Cricetulus griseus: one gene and its partners. The protein of the gene in region 1 interacts with the protein of each later gene in a pairwise test. Links are inferred from orthologs where the notes say so. Each region holds a gene or a part of one and is shown in the gene's direction. Other genes may lie near its edges.

Region 1 (4,257 bases):
GATCCTAGGCACCTCACCCTATTTTACACGCCTAATCTTTTTTTTTGATTATCTTTATTATTTTATGTGCATCGGTGTTTTGTCTGCATGTATGTCTTTGTGAGGGTGTCAGATGCTGAAGTTACAGACAGTTGTGAGGGCTGGGACTTGAACCGGGGTTCTCTGGTAAAGCCGTCGGTGCTCTTAAACCACTGAGCCATTTCTCCAGCCCCCCCCCCCCCCCCCCCCGCCCATCTTCTACTGAGCCCCCAGATCTGGAAGAGTCCCAGCTTCTGGACCCCAGCTGTAGATAGTCTTCAACTCTTAACTAAATAGCTGATCCCGCCGCTAAACTCGCCACCCCAGTCTGATAGCTTATTCTCATCAGACCTCGGACCCCTCCTCCACCCCCTCTCCCCAACCCCCACTCGGCTTTGCGTGTGCGAGCTTATCCTTCAAGCTGCCAGCAGGTGGGGCTAATGCTCACCGGAGCCTCCGTTCCAGTGGGGTCTCCAGGGCATTTTTCCTCAAAAGTCCGGACTGCGCTTCTCTTCCAGATAAAGCAGCAGAGGGGTGTTTAGGTATTTCTGCAGTAACGGAGAAAGCACCTACGGCCCAGGAGAGCGGGGGTGGGAGCCACCAGGGCCTTTTTTTCTTTTCCATCTGGGAGCCTCAAGGGGATTTACAAGGTGTGAAAGGACCTTTATGATTGGGAGGACCGAATTTCTGAGCCCCAGGGCCCCAGGGTCTACGCTAGGGCGGGGGTGGGATGGGGTGGGGTGGGCGCGGGAGCCACCTAAGAATCTGGTACGCAGTACTGATTGGGCCTCAGAAAATGGGGCTGGGAAATGGGCAGTCAGGTGCAAGTGCGAGCTGTGTGTGTGTGTGTGTGTGTGTGTGTGTGTGTGTGTGTGTGTGTGTGTGTGTGTGTTTAGTCCAGAACTGGGGCCCCAAGGGCAGCCTGTCCTCAGTTTCTCAAAGGAGGTTCTGGCGGGGAGGAAGGGAAGTCAGGATGCGGTGGGGGTGCGCTAATGGACCTGGCATTAGCTGGAGGTGCGTCCAGGGCTGGATCGAAATCATCCCATCTGCTCTGTGGCCGGAGGGAACCAGACCATTAGTGAAACGAAATGGAGATTTCTGGAGCCTAGGTGGCCCCCGCAAGAGCCTAGTGACCGACCGCAGGTTTTCCCTGCCATGTGGTGGGGAGGAGTGGGTTTGGGATTTTGATATTTTGATCCTTTGTAAGAAATGCGAAGTTAAATGGAAAGGATGAATAGTTTGGGATGGCAGAGGAGAGTAATATCAGGGTACAGACTGGAAAGTAAATCGAGGCATCTTTTAAGGAGGTCCAGAGCCCTTTAAGAGAGGGCGGAACATTCGCTGAGCTCCGCCTCATTGGGTTCCTCCCTTAGGGCTCCCCGCTCCAGGCTCGGCGGGGCAGGGGCGTGGCAAAGCGCTAAGGGGCGTGGCGCACTGGTTGAGTGGGCGTGGTCTGGTGGCGGGGCGGGGCGGGGTTGGGCACACCGCCCTGGGGCTGAGTTTGGTGGAGGGTGGCGGGGACCCCGGCAGGAGGTGGTGGCGTCCCCGGCGGCAGGACGAGCATGGATTGGGGCACCGAGTTGTGGGTGAGTCCTTTCTTCCCAGCTCACACGGTTCTCCCTTGCTGGGGTCCTGGCCTCTCCGCTCTTTGTCCCCTATGTACCTTTGCCGGGACTCTGTGGTTTCCCTCGCAGCTGATCCTGCGGGTCCCCGCCTTCTGCCTTCAGCACTCTCTCAAAAGTTCCTTGGGGACTTTCTAGATGCTCAGAGGGCCCTAGGGATACTTTGCCTAGGACCCGTATAGGGAAACTGAGTCACAGAGTTGAGAGTGAGGCCATCACAAGAAGTCCCTAGACCAGGCCAGGAAGGGGGGGGGCAGCTGGGCGAGGTCACCTATTTTGAGCGCCCTGGCCTGGCTTGGAGGCTAATCTTACGGCCCCTGGGTCCCTGCCCGCCGCCCGGCTGGGAGGGGGAGGGGGGCCCCTTGGTCACCTTCTCTCCCACGTGGGGCCTCACTCGGTTGCTTCCCCGCTTGCAATTGCCCTAAAGGGCTTGGGACGCTGAGGGGGAGGGGAAGGGGGCTGCAGGACTCGGCTGGGCGGAGCCACCCCTTACCCGCCACTTAACCTCACCCAGGAAGCCCTAGAAGTTTCCCTGAATCCTTGTTGGACTATTGACCCCTCCTCTTTCTGGAGGCGGTGGAGTCTTCGGGTGTAGTGGAGGCAAGCCACTGTAGTGGAGGCATCACAGAAGCGGGGGAAACTGAGTCACACCCCGGGGATCGTGGCAAATGGGGAAATCTGGCCATTGAGGTTCCCTCCTTCCACGCACTTTGAGCTGCACAAACCCTTCCCTTCTGTGCCTGTCTTATGTGCCAAGCCCGCTTGATTTTCCGGAATTTGGGGGATTAGAGGGTTCGGAGGGAGCTGGAGTAGCTTAGCCTCCTCCCACACCCTCGTTGGCCACCCGGATTCCAAGAGACCCCGCCGTCCGGTTTGGGGCCCTGGCGCTGTTGTCCAGGCCCTTCCCGGGAGGAGGAGATGGGGGTTCCCGCCAGCTTCCTGCCTCCCCCTGCGCCACGCCGGGGCGGCGCCTGGGGAAGCCAGCCAGTCCTTGCTGGAACCGCCGAGCCACGAGGTTGTGTCGAGGTTGTGCCGTGTCCCACCCCCTGCCTGTGCGCCCCCACCCTCTCGTGCATCTGGTCTCTGGGGCTTCGGTGCTCCCTCCAGGTGACCCTGACCTCCCCAATCACTCCCCTGGAATCAGGATCAGTTTGAGGTGCTGGAACGCCACACGCAGTGGGGGCTGGATCTGTTGGACAAATACGTGAAGTTCGTGAAAGAACGCGCAGAGGTGGAGCAGGCTTATGCCAAGCAACTCCGGTGAGCGCTAGGGTGGGTGCTTGCTGGGGCTCCGCGGTGATCCGGCAGGTTCTCAAGCCTCCCTGCCTCTGTCCCCACCCTTAGGAGCCTGGTGAAAAAGTACCTTCCCAAGAGACCTACCAAAGATGACCCCGAAGTCAAGTAAGAATGGGATAAGACTCGGAAAGGGGCGGTGCGGGAGCTGGGCATGGGTCCCTCTCCTTCCCAGAGGACTCCATTTCCGCACCTCCAGTCCCATCTCCCATTAAAAGTCTGGGTGACCTGGGGTGAAATTTACTCCCAGCAGAGCATCCTTTTGGGTTTATAAATTGTCAACTTAGCACAGTTATTGGGGGAGAGTGGCTTTTTACTTTTACTATTTATTTAATTTTGAGAGCGAGGTGCACCTACATATGCCACGGGGCATTTTCCAAAGCCAGATGATAGCTTGCTAGAGTCGGTTCTCTCCTCACGATGTGGGTCCCAGGCCAAACTCAGGTCACCGTGCTTAGCTGCAAGCGCCCTTTACCTGTCCCCTTTATCTGTCAAACCGTCTCGTTGGCCCTAGTTTCTATCTTTGAGACATGGTTTTGGCTGTTCTGTTACTCCCTCTGTAGCCAGGACTGATCACTAATGAGGCAGCCCTTGTGCCTGGACTCCCAAGAGCTGGACTGACCAGCATGTATCATTAAGCCAGGCTTGGGCCAGTGACTTTTAATTATCTCTGTTCTAATCTGCAAAATGGGTCTGATGGTGGTGGTCCCTATTCTTGCTGGTGTGTACAAAGATGAACTGAGTTTATTTGTCTAAAAGCACCGGGCATGTTGGTGCACACCTGTGATCCTAGCACCCTTGGGTTCTAGGCTGGCCTCAGCTATGTAGTTAAGTTTGAGGGTAGCCTGGGCTGTATGATAGATACCCTGTCTCAGATTTCTAAATGAACAAACTGGTAACCAGTCTGTAGTTATTTCCAGGAACTTTAAACTGCATTCTGAACCCTTCCCCTTAAAATCTAAAAGGTGAGCTGGGTATGGTGGCAAGTACTTATTATCCCAGCACTCTGGAGGCCAAGACCCAGAGGTTGTGAGTTCCAGGCTGGTGTGGGCTACATAGTGAGACTATATTTTTAGTAAAAATGTAAAAAAAAAAAAAGTTTTAATCCAAAAGTTCCAAATTTAATCCCAAAACTCACAATATAAAAATTAAGAGTTGTCTTTCTGCTCTTTCCTGCTCTTCTTTCCTGTCTCCCTCTTCTCTTCTGTTCTCCCCCTGTGTCTTTACCTCTTTTCTCTTTCATTCCCCCTCCCTCCCCTGTCTAATAAAACTTTCACTCAAAAAAAAAAATTAAGAGAGTTATTTGTGATAGCTGGATAGATTG
Region 2 (3,500 bases), about 61 Mb from region 1:
AATTCATAAAAGTCCTTTTCCTGATCCTACTGTCCCTTTGAGTGTCATGGTATAAAATCATAGATTGTCAGTAATTCATATGAGATGTTCTCATGGGTAGTAGTCAGCCCTGTTTACATATTCTGAATGTGAAGGAAGCAGTGAGGCCTTGCACATGTGCTTTGTTCTTTAAGAAACATAGGATTGGGGCTGGAGAGATGGCTCAGAGGTTAAGAGCATTGGCTGCTCTTCCAGAGGTCCTGAGTTCAATTCCCAGCAACCACATGGTGACTCACATCTCTAATGAAATGTGGTGCGCTCTTCTGGTGTGCATGAAGACAGAGCACTTATGTACATAAAATGCATACTTCAATAAATCTTTAAAAAAAGCAACAAACAAGCCGGGCATTGGTGGCGCACGTCTTTAATCCCAGCACTGGGGAGGCCTGCATCTCTATGTCCAGTTTATACTTGCATTCTTGAAACTTTTAGGTTTCTTGGTGGGTCCTTGGAATTATAGCATAGAGCTGTAAACTATTTTCTTTTCCCTTAAGACAGGATCTCAGGTGGCTCCGTGGTGCAATGGATAGCACACTGGACTTCTAAAGGAAGACAGGGTCTCACTGTGTAGCCATGGTTGGACCCAGAGCTTGCTGTTGTATAGATAAGGCTGGTCTTGAACTCACAGAGATCTGTCTGCTTCTGCCTCCCAACTGCTAGTATTAACAGCATGTACCACTACACCTGGCTATAACCATTTATAAAGCATGATGTCAATAGCACAGACTTAAGTGTTAGACCATGTGACTTTAAGATTCTCAAGTAGGCTGGGCATTTGTGGCATACGCTTTTAATCCCAGCACTCGGGAGGCAGAGGCAGGCGGATCTCTATGAGTTCGAGACCAGCCTGGTCTACAAGAGCTAGTTCTAGGACAGCCAGCCTCCAAAGCCACAGAGAAACCCTGTCTCGGAAAACCAAAAAAAAAAAAAAAAAAAAAAAAAAAAAAACAGGATCTAATCCGATCAGTCTCAGCCCCTCTATTGTGAGTTGTAAGATGAGGCTGTTCAATTTTTTTATTTTTTTCCGAGACAGGGTTTCTTTGTAGGTTTGGAGGCTGTCCTGCAACTCTCTTTGAAGACCAGGCTGGCCTCGAACTCACAGAGATCTGTCTGCCTCTGCCTCCCGAGTGTTGGGATTAAAGTTGTGCGCCACCCCAGCTGAGGCTGTTGAATTTTGCTTACCCTTTTTATTTTTAGTCAAATGTCTGACACTGGATAAATTCAAGGACAGTATTCTTGGTCTCTTTTATTTAAAAAACATATTTTATGTGTATGAGTGTTTTGCCTGCATTTTAAGTTCACGACATGGGTGCAGTGCCCAGGGAGCCCAGAGGAGGGCATCAGAGTCCCTGAAACTACAGATGGTTATGAACTGCCATGTGGGTGCTGGGGACCAAACCCAGGTCCTCTGCAAGAGCAACAAGTGCTTTTAACTAATGAACCATCTCTCAGGCCCTTTTGCTTTTCTACCTGAAGTAGGCTTATGGGTTGACTTAAATGAATAAGAGGGAGGTTTGACCTCCTTTTTGTTTTTCTTATCTACTTTCTCCCTTTAACAGGAAGATACCATGGAGGTCGAGGAGTTCCTGAAAGAAGCTGCAGTGATGAAGGAAATCAAGCATCCTAATCTAGTACAACTGTTAGGTAAGAATCCCAAACCACAGATTTCCTCAGGCCCACGCGCCCACCCTAGTGTTTTGTTGTCTGCAGATTGTGTTTTTGCAGATTGTTCTGTTTTGTTTTAGCACCGTGGAAATGCTAGCTGTGCATTGACTGTATTAACGATACCATGAGCTGGGCATGCAGACCAGGGGGGAGCTAGTAAGCACCACGTTCTAGGCTTAGTGCCGCAAACACACACAGGGATGCGAGTGCACGCACATCCCTTCTCTTTTAACTAATAGACTCATTAAAACAAAAAACAGTGCATCGAGTTGATTGCTTTTTTTAAAACTTTTATTTTGTATGTATGCATGTTTTTCCTGGATGTATATGTCTGCAATGCCCAAGGAAACCAGAATAGGACATTGGATCTCCTGGAACTAGAGTTGTAGGTGGCCATAAGCCACCCTGTGGGTCCTGGGAATCAAAACTAGGTCCTCTGGAAGAGCAGCCAGTGCTCTTAACCACTAAACCAACTCTTCAGCCCCTTTACAATTTTTTTTTTTTTTTTTTTTTTTTTTGCTTAGTTTATGTGTTTGGGTGTTTTGCCTACATGTGTATCTGTGTGCTGTGGTGCCTTTGGAAGCCAGAGGAGGCATTGGATGCCCTGGAATTTCAGTTACAGATGGCTGAAAGTTGCCACGTGGATGCTAGGAATCAAACCCTGGTCCTCTGGAAGAGCAGCCAGTGCTCTTAGTTCCATCATAACTCCAGCCACAGACTGATTGCAATGTGTAAGCTGTCCAGTTTGTGCTTTCCCCAGGTTCATAGTTCACAAGCATTCAAGATGGCATCTAAAAATTGTCATGAAATATTAAGAGACTTTAAGCAAAGAACCACTGAAAAAAGTGAATTAAAACTTGTGGCTGATCAATTTATTAAAGCAGGAAATGAATATGCTGCAGTGGGTTATTTTTTTTTAATCTGTTTGTGCTACAAAGGAGTCTTTGATTAAATATTTTCCATTTTTAAAAGTCGGGCCTGTTTGGTTTTTGGCAAGACAGGGTTTCTCTGTCTTATCATAAAGTTGCTCTGGCTGTCCTGGCACTTACTCTGTAGACCAGACTGGCCCTGAACTCACAGAGATTCGCCTGCCTCTGCCTCCCTGATTAAAGTGTTCTGATTAAAGGTGTGTGCCACCACTGCCTTACTGGGCCATTTTCTTTGAATATTTAATTAAGCTAAGCTATGCCATAAGAAAATTAATATGGAATCTGCCATATGATAATGAAATCAACTGTGGAGACAGTTTTACAAAGTAGTTAGAGCAAGTAAGCATCAGCATAGGCCTAAGTTCTGTTACTTGTGATAACATGGTTTGCACACAGTTGAAGGGGCTGTCGGGTTAATGTAAGAAACTGCGCTAGGTGTGGTGGCGCACACCTTTAGTCCCAGCACTAGAGAGGCAGAGGTGGGCGGATCTCTGTGAGTTGGAGGCCAGCGTGATCTACAAAGCTACACGGAGAAACCCTGTCTGGAAAAAACAAACAAAAGGGGGCGGGGTGCAGATGCTGTGAAGCTGCAGAGGACAGCACGGTGAAACAGGCTCTTACTAACCTGTTTTTAGATTTTTGTTGTATTTATTTCATAGAATGTGGTGAAGATTGTCAAATTGTTCTTGGTCAGGTGTATGTACCCTGGAGCCCCCGTTCTACATTGTGACTGAATACATGCCCTACGGGAATCTGCTTGATTATCTCCGGGAATGCAACCGTGAGGAGGTGACAGCCGTTGTTCTACTTTACATGGCCACTCAGATCTCTTCTGCCATGGAGTATTTGGAGAAGAAGAATTTCATC
Region 3 (4,097 bases), on another chromosome or scaffold:
TAGAGGACATGAAGGTGCATGGACAAGGTCCTTTCTTTCCTTCCTTCCTTCCTTCCTTCCTTCCTTCCTTCCTTCCTTCCTTTCTTTCTTTTTCGAGACAGGGTTTCTCTGTGTAACAGCCCTAGATGTCCTAGAACTCAGTCTGTAGACCAGGGTGGCCTGGAACTCGGAGATCCTATTCCTCTGCCTGCAGACTGCTGGGATTAAAGCGAGTACCACCACTGCTCAGCAAGATCCTGTATCCAATTCTCATCACCAAAAGTGGCGAAAATCAAACCTTCAAAGGTTACATACTTTTGAAAAGTCCCAACATAATTTAAAAATATCAATCAAGGGCTGGAGAGATGGCTCAGCAGTTAAGACCACTGTCTGCTCTTCCAGAGGACCCAGGTTCAATTCCCAGCATCCACATGGCAACTGGAAACTATCAAGTTCCAGGGGATCTGACACCTTCACAGCAATGCACATTAAAATAAAGTTAAATACATTATAAAAATAAAACAAATATTAAAAAAGCAATCAAGATGTTGTTTTAGAATTTATTTATACTGTGAAGTCCTTCCTTCCAGAATGAAGTTGGCTGGGCATTGGTGGCACACGCCTTTAGTCCCAGCACTTGGGAGGCAAAGGCAGGTAGATCTCAGTGAGTTCGAGGCCAGCCTGGTCTCCAGAGCAAGTGCCAGGATAGGCTCCAAAGCTACACAGAGAAACCCTGTCTCGAAAAACAAAACAAAAAACAAAACAAAACAGAATGAGGTTGATCAGAAGAAAGTAAAGAGGGAGCTACAGGAGGCAAGGGTAAATGATGAGGAAGTAAGCCATGGGCTTATATGTTGTTGGCGATGTTCAAGGCTGGAGATGGGGTCACTGCGCCATTGCAAGGAAAAGCTGTAATGCAATGACCCTTCAGCACCTGGAGCCTTGGACTCAACCCCAGGCCAGACTGGTGCTTTAGGGAAGAAGGAGATGACACAGCCTTGTGACTACTCTGAGCAGCGAACCCTGTAGAAGTGCTGCAGATGGCTTAGCTCTCAGCACCAACTAGAGCGAGATCTGAGCTTGTCAGAAGGAAATGGCAAGAGAGAGACAGAGAGAGGGACAGAGAGGGGGGAAGAGAAAGAAAAGGAAGAAAGGATCCCTGAGCTCATTACAAACATGGTTCTAGCTAGGCAAATGGAGGATGGCCCCAGTCAGTTCTACCGAGGAGGACAGGCCCTCTGGGGGCCCCTGGAGGACTTGTTTCCCTTGTGGTTTATTGCACTTCCTGTTCCCTTGCTCACTGCGGAAGTTCCTCTTCTTACCCTGCACCCAGAGCTTAGCCGAAGAGGACTAGGGCAGAAGGCACCATGAGTGGTGGCCCTGTAGGAGGCAGGCCTGGGGGTCGAGGGGGACCAGCAGTTCAGCAGAACATTCCTTCCAACCTCCTCCAGGACCATGAGAACCAGCGACTCTTTGAGCTGCTTGGCCGAAAATGCTGGGTGAGTTGGGGATCTCCTGGTCCTCCCAGTCTCCCTCCCTTTCCTCGTCTTCCTCTCTACCTCTTCTTCCCCCTTTTGCCTTCTCCTCTTACCCATACATCCCTGCTCCTTCTTCTTCCCATCATCCCTCTTTTCCCTTTCCCCCATCTCCTCTCCCAGCATCCACTTACCACAGTTTGTGGATCCCAGGACTATCTTGATATCTACCTTCCTCCTGGCTATAGCTCTTTCCCCCAAGCTCATGACAGCCTCAAGCAGGCAGGGGCCAGGCCTGGTTACCCGTGCACAGACTCCAGTGACCCCCTGCTGTCCCATCCTAGACACTGGCCACTGCAGTTGTTCAGCTGTACCTGGCACTGCCCCCTGGAGCTGAGCACTGGACCATGGAACACTGCGGGGCTGTGTGCTTCGTGAAGGATAACCCTCAGAAGTCCTACTTCATTCGCCTCTATGGCCTTCAGGTGACCCAATGCCCCACTGGACAGAAAAGCTAGTCTCCAACCTGCAAAACCAGTTTTTGTCCGTAGCCTCAAGCCCTTTTTCCCATCAGAACTCCAGAGCCAAAGACCAATACAAATCCCAAATTGTGTTTTCTCATTGGAGTCCTAGATGACTGAATTCAGAAGGCCCATGCCAGGGTCCTGATCAGCTCCACAAACTCCCCTGAAACACCACATTTCTACCTGAGCCGAAGCCTCAAATCTGTTCTGAATCCAACATGGTGAATATTTGTAGGCCTAGAATCTTTTTTTGTTTGTTTGTTTTGTTTTTTGTTTGTTTTTCGAGACAGGGTTTCTCTGTGTAGCTTTGGAGCCTATCCTGGCACTTGCTCTGGAGACCAGGCTGGCTTAGAACTCACAGAGATCCGCCTGCCTCTGCCTCTCGAGTGCTGGGATTAAAGGCATGAGCCACCAACGCCCGGCCTGTAGGCCTAGAATCTTAAATTCACGGCGTTGAGCCCTCAACTCCTACAAATGGTCCTCAAATCCCAGACCTAGATCTCTCACATCAGTGTCAGCTTCTAAGACTCTCTCCCAATCCCCCATACCAGACACCTAGACCCCAAATTCTGCTATTGAGCTGACGATCTCTAAATAAGACTCTAGGACACCAAATCTGGACACCACACTCCCTGATCAGAAAACAAAAGTCTGCCACCCACAGTGCCTGCATGCCAGCATGTCCCCCACCCTGCCCCTCTCCAGGCTGGTCGGCTACTCTGGGAACAGGAGCTGTACTCACAGCTGGTCTACTTCACTCCCACTCCCTTCTTCCACACCTTTGCTGGAGATGTAAGTGAGCAGCCTAGCCTTGGGCTGCAGTTGGGGTGTGGGGAGGCCAGGAGAAAGCCTGGGGGGTAGGGAGTGCTAGAAGTTTGCTGACCCCAAGGCATATATAGGACTGCCAAGTAGGACTGAACTTTTCGGACGAGAGTGAAGCCCAGGCCTTCAGGGCTTTGGTGCAGGAGAAGATACAAAAAAGGAATCAGAGGCAAAGTGGAGGTAAGGAGAAGCCCTTGGTGGGGGTTGGGGAGATAAGTTAGACATGTGAGGTGAGGCTGGAAGAGCCCCTCTTGTGGTTCTGACTCTCAGTCTACCTATTCAACCACAGAAAGACGCCAGCTACCACCGCCACCAGCACCAACCAATGAAGGTGAGTCCTCCAGTTCATGTAGCTGTTATAAGGAACTAAGCCAGAAACCTGTGGCAACAATGTAACATCTTAACTTCTTCCATTTTCCCAGAGAGAAGAGGAGGCCTCCCACCTCTGCCCCCACATCCAGGCGGAGACCAGGGTGGTGAGTGGTGGTTTTCTTTCTTTTTTTTCTAGACAGGGTTTCTCTGTGTAGCTTTGGAGTCTATCCTGGTACTCCCTCTGGAGACCAGGCTGGCCTCCAACGAGTGGTGCTTTTCATGTCCCTGGAGAGACGGTGAGGAGTTAGATGAATGAATAGTTGCATGAATGCCTAAATTTGTAAAGAGGTGGATGGCTGGCTAGGTGGATGGGTGGATGAGTGGATAGCCGAGCATGTTGATGGATTGGCAGCAGATAGAGGAGTAAATTGGAAGATGAACTGATGATAGATTATAGATAAATAAGTGAGTGGGTATTTGGGTAAATGGGTGAATACTTACTTGTATTCAAGTAATGAATGGATGGTCCAGTGAATTAATGAATGGGTATGTAAATGGATAGTGAAAAAAAGAAATGAGAGGTAGTGAGCTGGCTCAGCACTTGTCACTGAACCTGGAGACCTGAGTCCTATCCCCAGAATCCACACAAAGATAGAAGAGAACCTACTCTTTAAAATTGTCTTCTAGGCTGGGCGTTGGTGGCGCACGCCCTTAACCCCAGCACTTGAGAGGCAGAGGCAGGCGGATCTCTGTGAGTTCGAGGCCAGCCTGGTCTCCAGAGCGAGTGCCAGGATAGGCTCCAAAGCTACACAGAGAAACCCTGTCTCGAAAAGCCAAAAAAAATATATAAAATAAAATTAAAAATTAAAAAAATAGGGCTGGAGAGATGGCTCAGCCGTTAAAGGCTAGGCTCACAACCCAAAATATAAGAGTTTGGTTCCCAGCACCCACAGCTGTCTCTCCAGCCACCAAAAAGAAAAAAAAT
Region 4 (3,500 bases), on another chromosome or scaffold:
CCTCCCCAGCCAGATCGGAGCCCTGCATGGCATCCTCTACGTGTTGGAGTGTGACCTCTTGGATGACACTGCAAAGCAGCTCATTCCAGTTGTTAGTGACTATCTGCTGTCCAACCTCAAAGGAATAGCCCAGTGAGTGGGGCTGGCTGGGTGGGCTACAGCCTTTGGTGTAGTCTTAACAACAACAACAAAACTAAAAAAATAAAACAAAAGGGCCCTATTTGACTTTCCAAGTATATGCTAGAACTACCATGGTAGGACATGCTTATAATCCCAGCATTTGAGAGGCTGAGGCAGGAAAATTGACATAAGCTTGAAAACAACCAGGGCTACAGATGAAATCCTGTTTCAAAAGCAGTAACAAAGTATATGCCAGGTCCTGGTAGGTCACAGGCAGGGAACCCAAGAGGGTACCTTTTTTAGGAAATAGTAGCCATGAAACACAAGGATACAAGTGTATGTCCAAAGCTTTCTTGGTTATCTCTAGCAAGATGAAAAGTCCTGCCACTGCATCACTCTACAGTGGCACTGAGTACTCTGAAGTGGACAGCAACCTTATCTTCTGCTACCAGAGTTAGCCTCTTTTTTAGCTTCTGAGCAGCCCCATGTTTCCTGTGAGGCCCTTTTATTCCTGCTCTGATCTCTGTCTCCCCATAAAGATGCATTACATGTAACTGCACATGGATGTATTGCTGGTCCTTTTGAAAACAAGTTGAGCCCATCACAGCTCTGTTTTAGAAGGGGGGGGGGGTGTGCTGTGACCTAAGGAGGGACACACAGCTGGACACTGAGAAGTTTGGGGCATGTGTTAGGGATGAGAAGGGACTTGCAGGAAAATCCAGCTGTTCTTGACAGAAATGGAGAGTAAAGTTAAATGAAAGGTTTGGAAATGGTGAGGTCTTAGGCTGACAGACATAGCTGCTATGAAGAGGTAGCATTCTGACAGGTGAGCAGAAGTGCATTTCAGGGGCCCAACAGGCAGTGGCAAATTGAGCTGAACAGATACAGTGGCTTGTAGGAAGGCACTTTCTTCCCTGTAGTCCTTACTGAATAGTAGCTTACATGTATATGCAAGGTAAGCAGACAACCACCCACTATCCCTGTGATTCTAGATCCTGACCTGGAGCAGATTTGAGCATGTTATGGGCAAGCACAATCTGCTGAGAAATGAAGAGGGCATAGAGGACTGGGGTGGCTGTGAGGAGCTTGCAGTGCCCAGTCAGATAATAAGTATATCTTGCTTAGTGCTTTGAGCAGAGGGTTCCATGTCACATACAAAACAGTGGCCAATTCCTAGGAGTGACGGTGTCATTTGAACACATTTGAAAGGATAAAAGAAATGGTGTGTGGCTCCTTTGTTTATGGTGGCATTGGTTTAACTCATATGCTAGCCAGGTCCCTACTGTTGCTGTTGGCAACAGATACCAACTGGAGATCCCATAAATTAGAGTGTTACAAGTTGGCACATACCACACATGGAGCAAACTGACACTCTAAGGATGCATCTTGAGCATGAAGATCTGTAGGGACAGTGAAGTGGCCTAGAGAGGTACAGTATTGGGGTAGTGTATCAAGTTGAGGCCATGCAGCTCTGGAAACAGTGTAGTCACCAGGCAAGCCAGGAGAAAAGTCCTGGAGAAGCTGGCATGGCCCAAGGCTCTGTACTTAATAAACACGATGGATATGCTTTAAAACTGTCCCCACTGCAGACAGCCAGGAGCTGCTGTATGTGACTGGATATGATTACTGTCTCCCATTCTCAGCTGCGTGAACATTCATAGCCAGCAGCACGTGCTGGTGATGTGTGCCACTGCATTCTATCTGATGGAAAACTACCCTCTGGATGTGGGGCCAGAATTTTCAGCATCTGTGATACAGGTGAGAGGGCTTTGGATGGGCTCTGTTGGACATGGGCAGGTTTCCTTGTGTACTGAACCAGTGGGTCATTGTGCTTTTGAGAGGGTAAGAACAAACAAGCCTTTCTTCTTGTCTAGATGTGTGGAGTGATGCTGTCTGGAAGTGAGGAATCCACCCCCTCCATCATTTACCACTGTGCCCTCCGGGGTCTGGAGCGTCTCCTGTTATCTGAGCAGCTCTCTCGGTTAGATACAGAGTCTTTGGTCAAGCTAAGTGTGGACAGAGTGAATGTACAAAGCCCACACCGAGCCATGGCAGCCCTAGGCCTGATGCTCACCTGCATGTACACAGGTGAGCAAGTTGTAAGGGTTGTAGACTCACCAAAGGACACTGTGCCTGGCCTAGCTTCTAAGAAGTAAAGCAGGAACATATTCAGGAACACAAGCCAGACCTCATGGTGTGGCAGCCTTAGTGTGGCCCTAAACCAGCCCTGTCACATTTCCAGAAATTCTAGGGCCCAAGGAAAGAGAGCAGCTCACATGACACCACCATGTATAGGTATCAGAGCTGCCTCTGGCCACTGCATCCCTGAGAATTGTAAGAAAGTTGAGCTGCACCCTACCTTGCTAGAGACTAATCACCTGTTTTTGAAGGATCTCTTTCTATCTGGCCAAGTCCTATATGAGTCACTGAGTGCTGATTTCAAGCCTCTTGGGTTTCAATCCTATAGCTTCCTGGGTATTTCTGTTTCAGGAAAAGAAAAAGCCAGTCCAGGCAGAACCTCTGACCCTAGCCCTGCTACACCTGACAGTGAGTCTGTGATCGTTGCTATGGAGCGGGTATCTGTTCTCTTTGATAGGTAAGAAATGCAACACAGCCCCACCTCTAACCTCAATAATCATTGACTATCCTAGAGCCAAAGCCAGAGCAGTTGCATCTGTGTGTATATGTTCATCCTCTTAAACTTTAAAATGCAGCTTGTGGCCATTTTTCCAATGTGTATAATGTATATTCACAGAGCACCACTTGTAGCCAAACTCAGGGATAACTGGGCCCATGCATGTGTACAGCCATGCCACTGTCCTCATGGATCCCACTGCTGAGGAAATAAACACTCCTGCGAGTGTGCCCAAGTGATGTGGTGGGGCTCAGGTCATATTCACAGGAATGCACCCTTGGTTGGGCAGAGACACAGCTAAGTGTCTGAGTTACTTTTGCACTTTTCAGCTGTACACCACAGTTGTGCGTGCATTAGTGGGATAGTTCTAGGTCAGCTGTCTTTCAGGATGTAGGTAAGGGGCAAGTGTTGAATGTTGAGAGAAGAATCAATAGGACATAATGGGTCCTTATCTGATAGAAAGAAGAACTCCTGGTTGACAGTAGTGCTCTGATATTAGGACATGTAACAGTGAAAAGTTCTTGGAGCATTTTGATGTGGAAAGACTCTCCTATAGTGTCACCACCCTACCCTCTTCCTGCTATTCCTTTACAGGGATTTCCCACAACTCTGCATTATTCTCCTCATAGTGGCAAAGATTACCCTGTGCCTGGATCAATCGGGGCAGCAAAAGAAAAGTCTAGGTGTCACCTTTGGCTTTTAAAGTTCATACCCTAATTGTGGTCTGAGCCATACTTGGAGCATC
Region 5 (4,172 bases), on another chromosome or scaffold:
ACAGTCAGAAAGCAGAAGGCTTTGCATGCTCCTGGTTCAGCCAGCTTTCTCCTTTTTATACAGCCTGGGGTCACAGATGATGCAACACTGTGGCCCACATTTAGAGTGGGTGTTCCCATCTCAATTAACCTAATGTAGATAATTCTTGACAGACATGCGCGGAGATTTGTTTCTAAGGTGTCTCTAGATCCTGTCAAGTTGACACTTTAAACCATCACATAGCTTGTGAAGGAAGCCATAGTCCACCGGATGCAGGGAATATTGTCTACACAGAGCCAGGGCTGCAGGTCATAAAATTTGCCTGGTTCAGTTAGAGCAATGTGAAATGATCCCACCAAGTTTCCCCTCTCCACTGTGTCTGCGAGGGCTAGGAATCAGAACCCTATGGTCATTTAAGGCAGCAGGGACTCAGACCCATCAGTGCAGGGGCTGGTAAGGACCAGTTTCCTTTGGCTGTGGGCCTATGTGTATACTCTGTAGGTGGCCTTCATCTGATTGATCCTAGTCTTTTAGCTTTTCCCATGGACCAGTAAGCAGCTCCTGAAAAGAGCCTTCATGACACACTCTCTCCTGACACTTTGCCCTTTGTGCAGGACAGAGGGCAAGGTGTGCGGGTGTTGAGGGCCTGGAGCTCCTCGAAGGGTTGGTTCACCCCGCTTGATCTGGCTCGGCTCACTCCTGCTCTGCTAGGATATACTCTGGTCTGACCCACCAACTCGGCTTAGCTTTAACCAGATTTAGGTTCTGCTCGCACTCCCTTGACTTGGCCTCACTCCAGTAGGAACACCCTTTCTATTCGGCTTGGCTTGGTCCGGCTACTCCCTCTCCAGACTGGCTCGGCTCTGGGGTCCGGCTGGGCGAGGCACCATCTGTCTGTGTTCCACCCTGAGCAACCGAGCCGGGATTTACTAAGGCTCACCCGCGTTCCAGCTGGCCCCACTAGAGTAAGAACCCAGGTTGGGCTCAGCTCGCTGCTTCCAGCAGGGCTCACGCTAAGAACCGCGGGGATCCAGGTGCCCCGCTAGGTTTGGCTCCGCCCTTCTTGGGGGAGCCACGCTCGTCCATCCCTTATTGGCTCAACTCCACCCCTCTCCACTCGACGATTAGTTCGGCTCCACCCCAAAGTTCGCCTAGCTTTGGTGGTCTTGCTCCGCAAGACTTCTCTGGTTTCTGCCCGGCCGGGTCCAGCTCAGCTCCACCTATCTCGTTTCGCCCGGGTTCGGCTCGGCCCCACCCACCTCGCTGGTTCCCGCCCTGATCGGCTTAACTCCACCCATCGCACCTTCTTGACTCCACCTCTCTGGTTTCGGCCTTGTTCGGCTCCGCTCGGCCCCACTCGGTCGAGCAGGAGGGGCGGGCGACAGCCCTGGAAGTGACGCGGCGAGGGCGGGCCCGAGTTGTAGCCTCGGTCGCCGCCTCTCGGGCCGGGAAACGATGTAGGAGCCGCCAGACGGTCCCCAGCTCTCCCCGGCCCGAGCTCCGCGGCCTGTCGCCGCCGCAGCCGCCGCCATGAAGAAGCAATTCAACCGCATGAAGCAGCTGGCTAACCAGACTGTCGGCAGGCGAGTGCGCGAGGGCGGTCCTGCGCGCGAGGAGCCGAAGAACGGGGAGAGCCGGGCGCGGCCGGGCCTGGGCCAGCGGGGCGGGGGTCTGCGCCAAGCTGCGGCTTAAGCGCTGCCCATTGTCCTGCCCTAAGGACCATCGCCCTCGGGGGACCCACGCGAGCCCTTACTCCTCTCTGTCCCCGCCAGCCCGAGCTTGGCGCCTGCTGCGAAAACTCCGCAAACTTGTGTTCCTAACGCAGTGCCAGGCGCGCCGCTTTGGGGGCAGCGTTCCCAGGCTCTCCCAGTCGACCCGCTGTTGCAGCCTTCCTCCAGAAGAGCTTGCTGGTCACAGGGAACTGGAGGGGTGTTAATGCCAATGAAGTTCAGTCTCCCAGTGAAGGAATAGAGACGTGCAATCTCAAAATCCAGGCTATTGGGAACTTGTTGCGAGTTCTTGACGTTTACAAGTTTGGAAAGGGAAAAGGATGTCTTTTCTCCTCTTGGATGCGGAAACAGATATTTTGTTTCTTTGATACTGCTTGAGTGCTTGATAGGAAACATTGTTTTTTCTTTCTTTTTTTTTTTTTTTACATGAAAAGATACAGGAGAGACTGTAGATGAGTAGGCTGTGGAACAGGAGCGATTTGCGGTTTTTAAGAGCTTCAGGAGGCTGTTGTCATGTACTGTGCTAACTGTAACAAATATTTCAAGGTCTTGCAGGGCAGATAGCTGTGCTGAACCACTTTGCTGTTTATTCTGCACGGAGATAGATGAATTTTTCACAGCTCTAACGCTTTCTCTCCTCCCCTGGCAGTTAAGGGGAGTTTGGTTTGGTTGAAGCACGTGAGACACTTCTTTTTTTGTATATGTAGGAAAATACTTTTACTTCCTCTTGAGTTTTCTAAATTTGCTTTTTAGAATGTTTCATTTCCCTCAACTTTTTGCTAGGTTTTGTTACTGAGTTTCAAACAACAACAACAAAAATAACTCATGTAATTTTGGTATGCATTATCCTTTATCTAGAATCAGTCCCTGCCCCTTAAACCCAGACATGCCTACTTTACTGCTGCTTGTAGAATTAAAGAAAGAGGAAGATCAAGACAAACAATCCCAATGGCTCAAATGAAAAACATTATGAGAAATAATTTCTTCTGAGTTGTGCACCCCTTTCTCAGCCATGCATGGCAGAATCAAAACTTAGTGAATACCAAGATATATTTGTTAGGTTGCTGTTTATTTACTTATTAGACTGCTTTGTATTGTGTGGTACAAGGGACAGTTGCTGAAAGCTCTGTAGGGTTCTGTGGGCTCCTGCTTCCCCTTAGCTTCCCTTCCTACTTTTACATTCCAGCCATACCTACCCACTTTCAGTTTCCATGGGAGGCCTGTGTTTCTTCTGTATTATTCTCTTCCTGGACATCCCGGAAGCCTTTTTCACCACATCTAGCTGATAGCTACCTCTTTCTCATTCTTCAGGTCTCTCAGTGATAGTCTCTGTGCCCTATGAAGGTCCTTGGGGCATAATACCATACGCTGCCTGCTTTCTAGACTCAAACTCCCTCTTTACCTGTGTGTGTTGGTTGTTTGACTAAGCACTCTTGAGTGTCTTTCCTATGTGTCTTTGGTTCCCACGATTTGTGACTCCTATCTCATGACAGATAGCCTGTTGAAATTGTTAACTTCAGGAGTCTAGCTCTTACTACATTGCCTGGTGCTGTGGTATTAAGTTTGGGAAAATGTGAACAGGATAGAGTGGTGGTGATTCATACTGGGACAGTAATTCCGGCCCTGACCTTTGACTCTTTGAAAATCTTTATTGCTAGATGCCAGTGGAAGCTGCAGCTATTGCAGAGCTCTAAGGGTGTGGCAGCTATGAGACTCAAGTCAGAACATCTGTTTTTATTGGGGAGAAAACCTGTTGCTCTCTAGCTGTTGATTTCCTAGATCTCGATATCTCCCTCCCTCCCTCCCTCCCTCCCTCCCTCCCTCCCTCCCTCCTCCTGTGTGTGTGTGTGTGTGTGTGTGTGTGTGTGTGTGTGTGTGTGTGTGTGTTCCTATTTAAGTAACCCTAAGGGGTAGAAAGAAAAATAGATGACAAACCTGAGAATTATTATTGAATGGAGCCAGATGATTGATAGGCACCAGAAGCAAATACGGGTGTATTTGAGTAAAGATCTTTTCTAGCACAGATTTCTCCCAGCTGTGATCTGTATAGAGAAGGAATTTATATATGTGAATGCCCACTGTTTGTTTATCAGTGTATAGAGTTGTAGATGGTACCTTCTGGTGAGGTATTCCTGTAGGATGGAATGGCTCGTGAGTAACTCCACCATGAAGTTTCATAGCACCAGTAAGTGGAGGATTAGCAGTGCCTAGAAAGAATGAGCTGTTATGATGCAGTTTGTGTACAGAGGATGGATGAGTCTATTGGTGGTGTGGGCAAGGCTTACTAAGTGGTCTTATGATGTAGGTGCCCTAAAGAAGAGTAGTTGTTTTTGCCCACCTGATGTTTAGTGAGTCAGGTATTCAGTGAACACTGAGGCCACACTGCCACACCACTGAGTGTTATTAAAGAATCAGATAAATATGAGATTTCTGCCCTGGAGCTGCTCAGTAGACATGTAGGCA
Region 6 (4,282 bases), on another chromosome or scaffold:
AGCATTACTGTGTATGCTGAACAATGGCATATTCTGTATATACTGAACAAGGGCATGGAAGAGGGAACATGTTAGAGACTGGGGGAGACCGGAAACATGATGAAAGCCAATGAAAGGGAATAGCAAATGCAAAGACATAGTAAGTCTTTTATTTTTAAACTCTCATCTTGAGCATCTAAGAGGAGAATTTGTTATAACATTAGCCGGGTTAGATTTAATAAGGATTATGAGACAGTTGTTAGAAACCTTGCCAACATCCCAATGGGGTTTATTTATTATCACTTAACAAACAATTGAGAGTTCAGCTTGTGCTAAGCTAGACATTGCTACATCTTTGTGGATGAAGCCAGAAAAGAGCTATATCCAGAACCTGGCTCTTGAGCCCTAGGCCGCCGGCTTTGCTTTCCCCTCTTCTCTGGTGTTGCTGAAATCTCATCTGGCCATCGTAACAGGCACAACCAACAAGTGGTTAATGAATGATTCCTGAATTCCCAATACTTATTATACTTTTTCAAAGTCTTTCAATTTTAGATCCGGAAGGTTTTAAATCAACACTCTTCACATGATAGTAGAGGTGCAGAAGGTTAAGCGGCACATAATGGCAGAGCCAGGCCTCAGCGGATTTTCATTCTAGCAACTCTCACCACATAATCACTACCCAAACCCTTCACTGTGGGCCACTTCCGGGTTCCACGTTGCCACACTGCAAACTTTGGACGATGACATCCTGGCCCACGGTGATTGCATTCGGCAGGCCCTGTGGGCTCAAAGAGCAGTCATGCCCTGCGTACTGCTCTGCCAGCACTGTGCGCAAGGTTCAGGCCACCACCAGTTCGGCATAGACCTAGTAGCTCAAGACCACCAGAGTTCCATTTCGTGCCAATATAAGTGCCGCACGTTCCCCCAGGGTTGCCAGCCTGTGGACCCGTGATCCAGGGCGCCATTAAGTCCCAGAAGGCAGACTCCCTGCCGCCGTAGCACTTTCCGTTCTCCCGTATTCCCACTACCGTTTTCCCAACACTTCCCACTAGATGTTTACGAAGTGTTGACACCCACTCGGCCGCCGGCTTCCGCGCCCTCCCTAATGCCTGCGCACCCCCCCACAAGCCTGCCTAACCAACCTCCCGGCACCCCGCCCAACTGGAACTCCGCGGCCATCTCTCCCCGCGCGCCCTTTGCTGCCTGGAGCCTGGCGCCCCGCCCACTCCAGCCGTCACGTGAGTCATCTGCGCTTCACAGCACTAACCCCGGGCCCCCACGTCACGTGACCCACACCATTCCTGCCCAACGACAACACCTGCCACGCCCTCACTGTATCACGTGGGTCCTGCGCCCCCGCCCCTTCTAAGGAGACACGCCCCGCCCTCTCAGCGGGCGCCCGGCCCCTGTCCATCACGTGACGAAAGTCACGCCCTCCCCTTAGAGCCCGCCCCGCCCCGCCCCGCCCCCGCGCCGGCGCGCTCCGACGTGCCCTGGAACTTACCCTCCCTCAGAGACCAGCCTGCGGGGACGCCCGGCGGTGGCGGGTGCCGATTGAGCGCTCGTCAGGTAGTCTCTCCGTCGCTCGGCCGCAACGCCGGCGGAGGAGGGAGCTGCCCGTCGCTAGGTCTCCGACCCTTGGTAAGAAGGCCGGGCGCGGGTTCCCGCGGAACGCACAAAGGCGCTCGGGGGCGCGGGCTTTGCCTGCGGAGGGCTGCGCTGGGGAGGGCGGCGGCCGCCTGGCGCACGGGGCGAGCAGGTTTACATGACCCGGGTCTCAGCCTGCGCTCCCGAGCTTCCTGCTTGCGGGCAGCGGGCCCTCGGGAGGGCGGGAGAGCCGGTCCGCCCTCCGCGGCTGCTGCCGGTGGACACACCTGCCTCCTGGGCCGCGGCGGGCACTGTGGACGCGAACGGCGCGCTCTCCCCGGCCCGGAGGAGTGCGTCTGCTGCCCCCGGCTCTGCTCCGAGATTCTCTTCTTCCGAGCCCTTGAATCAAAGAGAAACAACAGACCCCGCTGCCAGCGCGCTGTCTACCTCCCGTCTCGGGCGCTTGTTTTGTCTTTCCGGAAAGGCTGCCCTTGACACGTTGTGTCTTAAGTTACTGCAGACCCTCGCAGACAGAATGGCCACAAGGTGGTCATTAGAGAGAAAGGCACGCCCTTCACTTTCAGAGGCGGGTGATGTTTTCCTTTTTTCTTTTTTTTTTTTTTTCTTTTTAATTTTGCCTGCAGCAGCAGTTTAAAATGCTTTGCAAAGGCGAAAGTTAAATGTTTTTAGTGTATCATTTTTTAAAAAGTTGAATGCCATTCCAAGTGAAATGCCACCACGGGTAAAGGTTTTTAACACTGGTTACAAGGTTGGCCGTGTGTGGTTCAAGTTGACACGCGGAAGTAGATTTTATTGCCCATTTAGGCACACATTCCTAAAGGGAGGTACATTGGAGGAAGGAGCATTAACAAGGAGTCACCTGGGTTCTCATTCAGATTCTGCTGTCCGACTTAACAGAGGTGAGACCTTGGAAGACTCCGAATGTTGCAATGTGAAATTGTTCAGAGTGTCTAGCCTGTAGCAGTGCTTCTTTTGTACTTAAAGGTGAAAAATGGTGGCCTGGAGGTATTTATTTGCTCACGTCCGGTTTTACTTACCTGATCTCTAAGAGGGTGTACTGTGGAATGGATCATCTTTCCGTTTCTCCGCTGCTCTGAGTCTGGCTGCAGGTGCAATATTTTCTATTTTAAAATTGCATTGGAAGCCTTTCAGAACAGCTTTTGGAACCCAAAGCCAGAGGGGTTCGTGAAGGTATGATTTAGCTGTGCCATGGAAGAGTTAGGCCAACAGGGTGTACATAACTTTCCACCTTTTTCAGGTGTTTTTCTGTCCAGGAAACAAAGCATAATGCGCTCTCTCTCTCTCTCTCTCTCTCTCTCTCTCTCTCTCTCTGTGTGTGTGTGTGTGTGTGTGTGTGTGTGTGTGTGTGTGTGTATTTGTGTGTGTGGTCCTTAGTATTTATTGACAATCTCCTGTTCCTTATCAACCATAGGGTTGGAGACTGCTCATTGAGTCATGATTGACGCCACTTGTGTAGATTAGTTGTGGTTATATAATTATCAATCTTTTTTGAATATACTACTCTAGTTGTGAGGCATAAATAAAATATATAAATGTTGCAGAAAAGCTTATTAATTGTAATCATTTGGCTTTTTTAAATCAAAATATTTATCCAATGCTTTTAAAAAATGGCCTGATTAAAAAAATGAGCTTTGTAATTTAGGTCCTAAAAGTGCAAATGACATTACTGGGATTAACGGTAATAATTCTATTTATTTATTTTGAAATAGGGCCTCACTTTATAGCTCTTGCTGGCCTAAAACTCACTATGTAGACCAGGCTGGCTTTGAACTGACAGAGATCTCCCTTCCCCAAGTACTGGGATTAAAGGTGTGCACCCACCATGTCCATCTAAGAACAATAATTTTAAATAGACTAAAGTGAGATAGTGATCTGTAAAGTTACGACCTAGTATTATTTATCTGAGAAAATGGATGTTGCCATTTTGTAATAAACAAAAGAGAAAAGTGAAATTAAATTTCTATCACACTTTGTATTTAACAGTTTCAATCTTAATTAGGGGTGTGTATTACTAGAAGTCAAACCCAGGGCCTTGGCGTACTAGGTGAGTGTTTTCTAATAAAACCAACAACCCAATAAATATTATAATTATAAACACGTTCTATTCTGTAGAATAAGTCAGATGTAGAAATTAATTTTGTAACACAGGGATTCATTGTACTTTAGGTCACCATCAGTTGAAAACCCAAATATTGGACCACCATCTTTGTGATTCCACTTTTCTTTGGTTAACTGGTTTAGTTGTGCCAGAACCGAACCATGTGATTGAGCCTTTGCCTTGTTGCTTTCATAGACCCAGTGAATATCCTGTGGTTTCAATTTGTAGGTGATTTGAACTGAGCCAGCAATGGTGATGCTTCATCTGTTGACAATGCTGTTGACAGTCTGGGGCTTCTCTTACCCTAAAGTACAGGGTGGGGAAAAACTCTTCTAAGAAACCCCAGGTCATATGTGTACTGTTGGCATCCAGACCACCGACAACTGTAGTATCCTAGAAATGCACTGCCAGCTACCCTGTGATTTTAATTTCTAGTACTCATGTTACAAAAAAACCAAGTGTGCAAACTACATGTAACATAATTCTATTTAACCTAGTATATTAAAAATATCATAATTAGCATGAAAATTATTCTCATTTTTTGATTCACTTTCTGATAGAATGTATAGCTTATAC
Region 7 (3,931 bases), on another chromosome or scaffold:
CAGGGGCAGCTTCAGGGACCCCTCTGGGCTCCTCCCATCTTCAATAGGGTTTCTTTTGTTTTGCTTTCCGAGACAGGGTTTCTTTTTGTAGCCCTGGCTATCCTGGAACTCGCTCTGTAGACCAGGTTGACCTTGGACTCACAGAGAACCACCTGCCTCTGCCTGGGATTAAAGGCGAGTGCCACCACCACCGTGCTTCAATAGGACTTCTTGAACAGTAAAGGGGCCCACACAGTAGGTGCTCAAGTGGTATGGGCTCTGAACTGAAACTTACAAAGTGTGGTGCAGTGCTCAGGGTTTCCTGTAGCCTCCCCTCCCCCGGAGTCAGCGCGCTGTTGCCCACAGGCTCTCTTGCCCTGTAGTAACTACCGGTTATGAACATCTACTGTATGTACAGGCTGGTTTTCAGCGGCACGTTCCAAAAAGAAAACTTCTATTGGTCTTGAGGGTTCAGAGCAGCACCCCATACCAGTGAGTGCCTAACAAGAAGGAAGGACAGGGATCAGGGACTTTTGCCAGGAGGAATGAGAAAGAGCTTTACAAATAGAACCATCCAAGCTGAGGACCCTTAAAGTGGAGGAGATCTAAGGCTGAGGAGCAGGCCGGGGTATCTTGTTTACCCTGTGTCATGGGCTGGTCCAGGACAGTTGTCCCATCAAGCCACTATGAGGAACACAGTGAATGAGGAACTTTGGGGACCAGGTAGTCCAGGTTCCCAGCTAGTGGTCCAGCAGGCATGAGATATGGCCAGGGAATGGTATAAGGGAAGAAGTCTCCAAGGAGCATCCCCTAGTGACTAGCCTGTACAGGTCCTGAAGGCCTGTCCCTTCAAGGCACGGAGCCTTCTTTTCCCTTTAAGAGAGCAAAGGTTGTTTATACCCAGGGCGGCGGTGGCAGGAGCGGCTTACCTGCTTCCCGCCACCGGCCACCACAGCGGGGCAGGGTACGGGAAGGAGGAGCCGCACTCAACCTGCGTACAGCAGAGAGACAGACCAACAGACACTCGCCAGGCGACCGGTCGGGGGTCGTTGGGGCCCGGAAGCTGCGAAAGAGCGGGACACCAAACTTGGAGAGAGGAGTGACCTGGGGGCCGGGGGCGGAGTCGTGAGCGGGGGAGGAGAGCGCCAGCGCCAGCGCCAGCCAGAGGAGCGCGCCGGCCCAGGAAGCCAGAGCGCCGCCCACCCATCCGGGGCGAATCGCGCGGGGAAGCCGGCTGGGCCAGGGGCTGCCAGCCTCGACCCCCACGGTGACCCTTCAGCCCCCAGCCCGGACTCAAGATGATGAAGAGGCAACTGCACCGCATGCGGCAGCTGGCCCATACGGGCAGCTTGGGACGGTGAGTGTCACCCCCTTCTAGCCCTGCTGTCACCCAGCAGGACCTGAGCGGGTGCAGGAGAGTGGGGTCGGGGACTTCTGGTCAGCGGCCCCCTTGTATGCCAGAGCCCTGACCTCGCTTCCTGGCGTCTGAAGCCACTGTGGTCGCACAGGCACAGCTGGCCTTTGCGGGGAAAGGCACCTCCATTCCTCGTTGGAAAGGCTAAGGAGAGCAGAATGCGCCCTGAGCCTGGACGCTGCCCGGAGAGCCTCATTGGTCCCCTCCGGACAATGGGAACAGTTAACCACCTCTAACTGCAGGGTTGGGGAGGAACAGAGCCGATCGGGGGCCCCAGACCATGGAGGAAGGGACTGGCGGTGTTCTGGCTTGGGGAGGAGTGGCCTGCTCCGCGCTGGGTGTCCGTCCCCTCCCCCAGCCCAGGGGCCTCCTACAGCAAAGTCCTGCTTCTGCTTTTCGAAGGCTCAGGTAGAGGCGCTCTCTGGTCTCTTCGGTCCCCAGCTCCAGAACTAGGGGAGCGGAAGTTTGGGGAGTTTCTTGGAGCTTTTCTCTCTGCTCCTCTTCCCCAGCCTGGGAGTTCCCCATTCTTTGGGCCCAGAAACTTGACCCAATCCTTCAATGACATAGACACCTGCGTGCATATACGAAGCCAGGCCACTTTGCTGTGAACCCATGTGCCTATGTGTCCCTGGGCAGAGTCCCGGGACCTGTCCACAGTTGCAGTCCAATATTGTGCCTGTGGGCCTGACCACCCCGGAGGCCAGCTTCCACACTTCCCGTTCTGGGGGGCCAGCCTAGGCCTCCTCTTTCCGGGACAGGCAAACAATTTGGGGGATGGGACAAGGGAAACTTTGCCTCCATGTCCCAAAGTTGAGCCCTGGGTAGCTCCCTCCTGTCCTTTTGGTGTCATGGGAACACCCTCTCCCAGCACAGCCGTGGGTGGAGGAGGAAGCAGACGTGCATCCTCTAAAACCCATGGAATGTGCTCCAACTGCGGTGCAGACAGGCCACCCAAGCTTGGTGGTCCTGGAAACAACCCAGGCCCAGGTGCCATATGCAGGGGATAGTGGGAGGCAGTGTGTTTCCTAACCCAGAGGACTCAGCAGAAGCCCCTCTTCCCCCACAGCACCCCAGAGACTGCCGAGTTCTTGGGTGAGGACCTTCTGCAGGTACGTGCCTGGGCGGGCTGGGCTGGGCTGGGCTGGGCTGGGAGGCAGGTCTGTGCAGGCTGTCAGTATCGAGGCTGACAGGCTGACAGGCGGGGACAACAGTCCGGGCCTAGTTGAGTCATTCCCTGCTGGCCAGGGGAGCCCCAGGAGGGAAGAGAAAAATGATTCTTGCTCAGGGGGAGACAACAGAGCAATCACCCCTTACAGTCTACAGTACGTGTCCCTCCCTATGCCTCCCAGGTGGAGCAGCGCTTGGAGCCTGCTAAGCGAGCAGCCCATAATGTTCACAAACGGCTGCAGGCTTGTCTCCAGGGCCAAAGCGGGGCTGACATGGACAAGCGGGTCGTAAGTGGGGGTCACCAGGAGGAGGGGCCTGAGTGAGTGGTGAGGGATGGGGTGGGAATGAGGCTCTCTGGGTTTGCTACCAACCAGCACACCCCCAGGCCTTCTAGGTGGCTGGAGCAGCGTTTGAGCTGGATGAGGATGCTCACTCACTGTTACTCTACAGGCAGCATGTATTACTCCTGCCAGACTGTTGCTAAGATGGCTAACCATTGTCTCCCCAACAGCCCTGGCAAGTCTCTTGTATAAGTCACTTGTGTGTAATCGGAAGCCCAAGACCTAAATTTACTAACACAAGGTCACACAGCTAACAAGTGGCAAAAGTGACCCTGTGGTCCCTCTGATTGTAAAATGTAGTGTGTCGTATTCTCCAAACTCCAGGTGGAAGTAAAGGGATGTTTAAAAATTCCTATGGTTGGAGCTGGAGGGTTGGCTCAGCAAAAGCACTTGCTCCTGTAGAGACCTGGGTTGGGTTCCCACCACCCACATGGTTCACAACTATCCAGTCCCAATCCCAGGGACTTGGACAACATTGAAGTGTTCTGAAGTGCTCTGAAGGTAGCAGGCAAGTCTCTGCTTTCCCTTAGAAGGGCCTGGGTGTGAGGCAATAGGCAGCCTTGGAAAGTTTGAGCTAGGTGGTGGCTGGATTAGCCACCTATGCCCTGAGGTAGGGAAGGAGGGTCATCTTACCCCTAGCCACAGGCCAGCTCTTCTCTTTGCAATGGTGTGACCTTGTGACAGCTTCCTGCTCCCTCTCTCTGCTTGGTAGTTCCCTGGTCTTCCTGGGATTGATCATTTCTTCTTGCCTAGTTCGGTGAAGAGAGGGACCCTAGGTAGTAGGTGGGAGATCTTGTGTGTGAGTGTGTGAGGCGACAGACAGACAGACAGACAGACACACACACACACACACACACACACACCTCATCCAGTTTCTGAATGGTTGGCTCCTCCCTCTGCTGGTGTGTGGGTATGGCCAGGTGATCCCGGCTCAGGTTGGGTGGAGGAGACTGGTAAACTACGATTGCTTGCCCACCCCACCCTCCCTGCAGAAGAAGCTCCCTCTCATGGCTCTTTCCACCACGATGGC

Evidence for each region.
Region 2: the proteins of Trip10 (region 1) and Abl2 interact in binary tests that used the Homo sapiens proteins (3 or more experiments, as listed by UniProt). The link is inferred for Cricetulus griseus from reciprocal best matches to the Homo sapiens genes TRIP10 and ABL2.
Region 3: the proteins of Trip10 (region 1) and Was interact in a two-hybrid assay, tested with the Homo sapiens proteins (2 studies listed by BioGRID). The link is inferred for Cricetulus griseus from reciprocal best matches to the Homo sapiens genes TRIP10 and WAS.
Region 4: the proteins of Trip10 (region 1) and Htt interact in binary tests that used the Homo sapiens proteins (3 or more experiments, as listed by UniProt). The link is inferred for Cricetulus griseus from reciprocal best matches to the Homo sapiens genes TRIP10 and HTT.
Region 5: the proteins of Trip10 (region 1) and Arhgap17 interact in binary tests that used the Homo sapiens proteins (3 or more experiments, as listed by UniProt). The link is inferred for Cricetulus griseus from reciprocal best matches to the Homo sapiens genes TRIP10 and ARHGAP17.
Region 6: the proteins of Trip10 (region 1) and Arhgap12 interact in binary tests that used the Homo sapiens proteins (3 or more experiments, as listed by UniProt). The two-hybrid records come from large-scale screens. The link is inferred for Cricetulus griseus from reciprocal best matches to the Homo sapiens genes TRIP10 and ARHGAP12.
Region 7: the proteins of Trip10 (region 1) and Sh3bp1 interact in binary tests that used the Homo sapiens proteins (3 or more experiments, as listed by UniProt). The two-hybrid records come from large-scale screens. The link is inferred for Cricetulus griseus from reciprocal best matches to the Homo sapiens genes TRIP10 and SH3BP1.

Annotation. Positions count from the first base shown.
Region 1 is NC_048598.1:96,232,938-96,237,194, reverse strand, and holds the start of Trip10 (cdc42-interacting protein 4), read left to right. Parts: upstream 1-1,457; 5' UTR 1,458-1,580; coding exon 1,581-1,604; intron 1,605-2,784; coding exon 2,785-2,900; intron 2,901-2,984; coding exon 2,985-3,041; intron 3,042-4,257. UniProt on the Homo sapiens protein: Required for translocation of GLUT4 to the plasma membrane in response to insulin signaling. Required to coordinate membrane tubulation with reorganization of the actin cytoskeleton during endocytosis.
Region 2 is NC_048598.1:35,224,239-35,227,738, reverse strand, and holds part of Abl2 (tyrosine-protein kinase ABL2), read left to right. Parts: intron 1-1,598; coding exon 1,599-1,683; intron 1,684-3,327; coding exon 3,328-3,500. UniProt on the Homo sapiens protein: Non-receptor tyrosine-protein kinase that plays an ABL1-overlapping role in key processes linked to cell growth and survival such as cytoskeleton remodeling in response to extracellular stimuli, cell motility and adhesion and receptor endocytosis.
Region 3 is NC_048604.1:114,563,753-114,567,849, reverse strand, and holds the start of Was (wiskott-Aldrich syndrome protein), read left to right. Parts: upstream 1-1,297; 5' UTR 1,298-1,346; coding exon 1,347-1,478; intron 1,479-1,798; coding exon 1,799-1,939; intron 1,940-2,683; coding exon 2,684-2,770; intron 2,771-2,877; coding exon 2,878-2,980; intron 2,981-3,089; coding exon 3,090-3,131; intron 3,132-3,222; coding exon 3,223-3,276; intron 3,277-4,097. UniProt on the Homo sapiens protein: Effector protein for Rho-type GTPases that regulates actin filament reorganization via its interaction with the Arp2/3 complex. Important for efficient actin polymerization. Possible regulator of lymphocyte and platelet function.
Region 4 is NW_023276807.1:103,884,181-103,887,680, forward strand, and holds part of Htt (huntingtin), read left to right. Parts: coding exon 1-132; intron 133-1,763; coding exon 1,764-1,878; intron 1,879-1,994; coding exon 1,995-2,208; intron 2,209-2,610; coding exon 2,611-2,716; intron 2,717-3,500.
Region 5 is NC_048596.1:77,348,059-77,352,230, forward strand, and holds the start of Arhgap17 (rho GTPase-activating protein 17), read left to right. Parts: upstream 1-1,372; 5' UTR 1,373-1,509; coding exon 1,510-1,562; intron 1,563-4,172. UniProt on the Homo sapiens protein: Rho GTPase-activating protein involved in the maintenance of tight junction by regulating the activity of CDC42, thereby playing a central role in apical polarity of epithelial cells.
Region 6 is NC_048596.1:208,325,457-208,329,738, forward strand, and holds the start of Arhgap12 (rho GTPase-activating protein 12), read left to right. Parts: upstream 1-1,482; 5' UTR 1,483-1,620; intron 1,621-4,282. UniProt on the Homo sapiens protein: GTPase activator for the Rho-type GTPases by converting them to an inactive GDP-bound state.
Region 7 is NC_048595.1:376,004,188-376,008,118, forward strand, and holds the start of Sh3bp1 (SH3 domain-binding protein 1), read left to right. Parts: upstream 1-1,131; 5' UTR 1,132-1,277; coding exon 1,278-1,336; intron 1,337-2,459; coding exon 2,460-2,502; intron 2,503-2,742; coding exon 2,743-2,847; intron 2,848-3,893; coding exon 3,894-3,931. UniProt on the Homo sapiens protein: GTPase activating protein (GAP) which specifically converts GTP-bound Rho-type GTPases including RAC1 and CDC42 in their inactive GDP-bound form.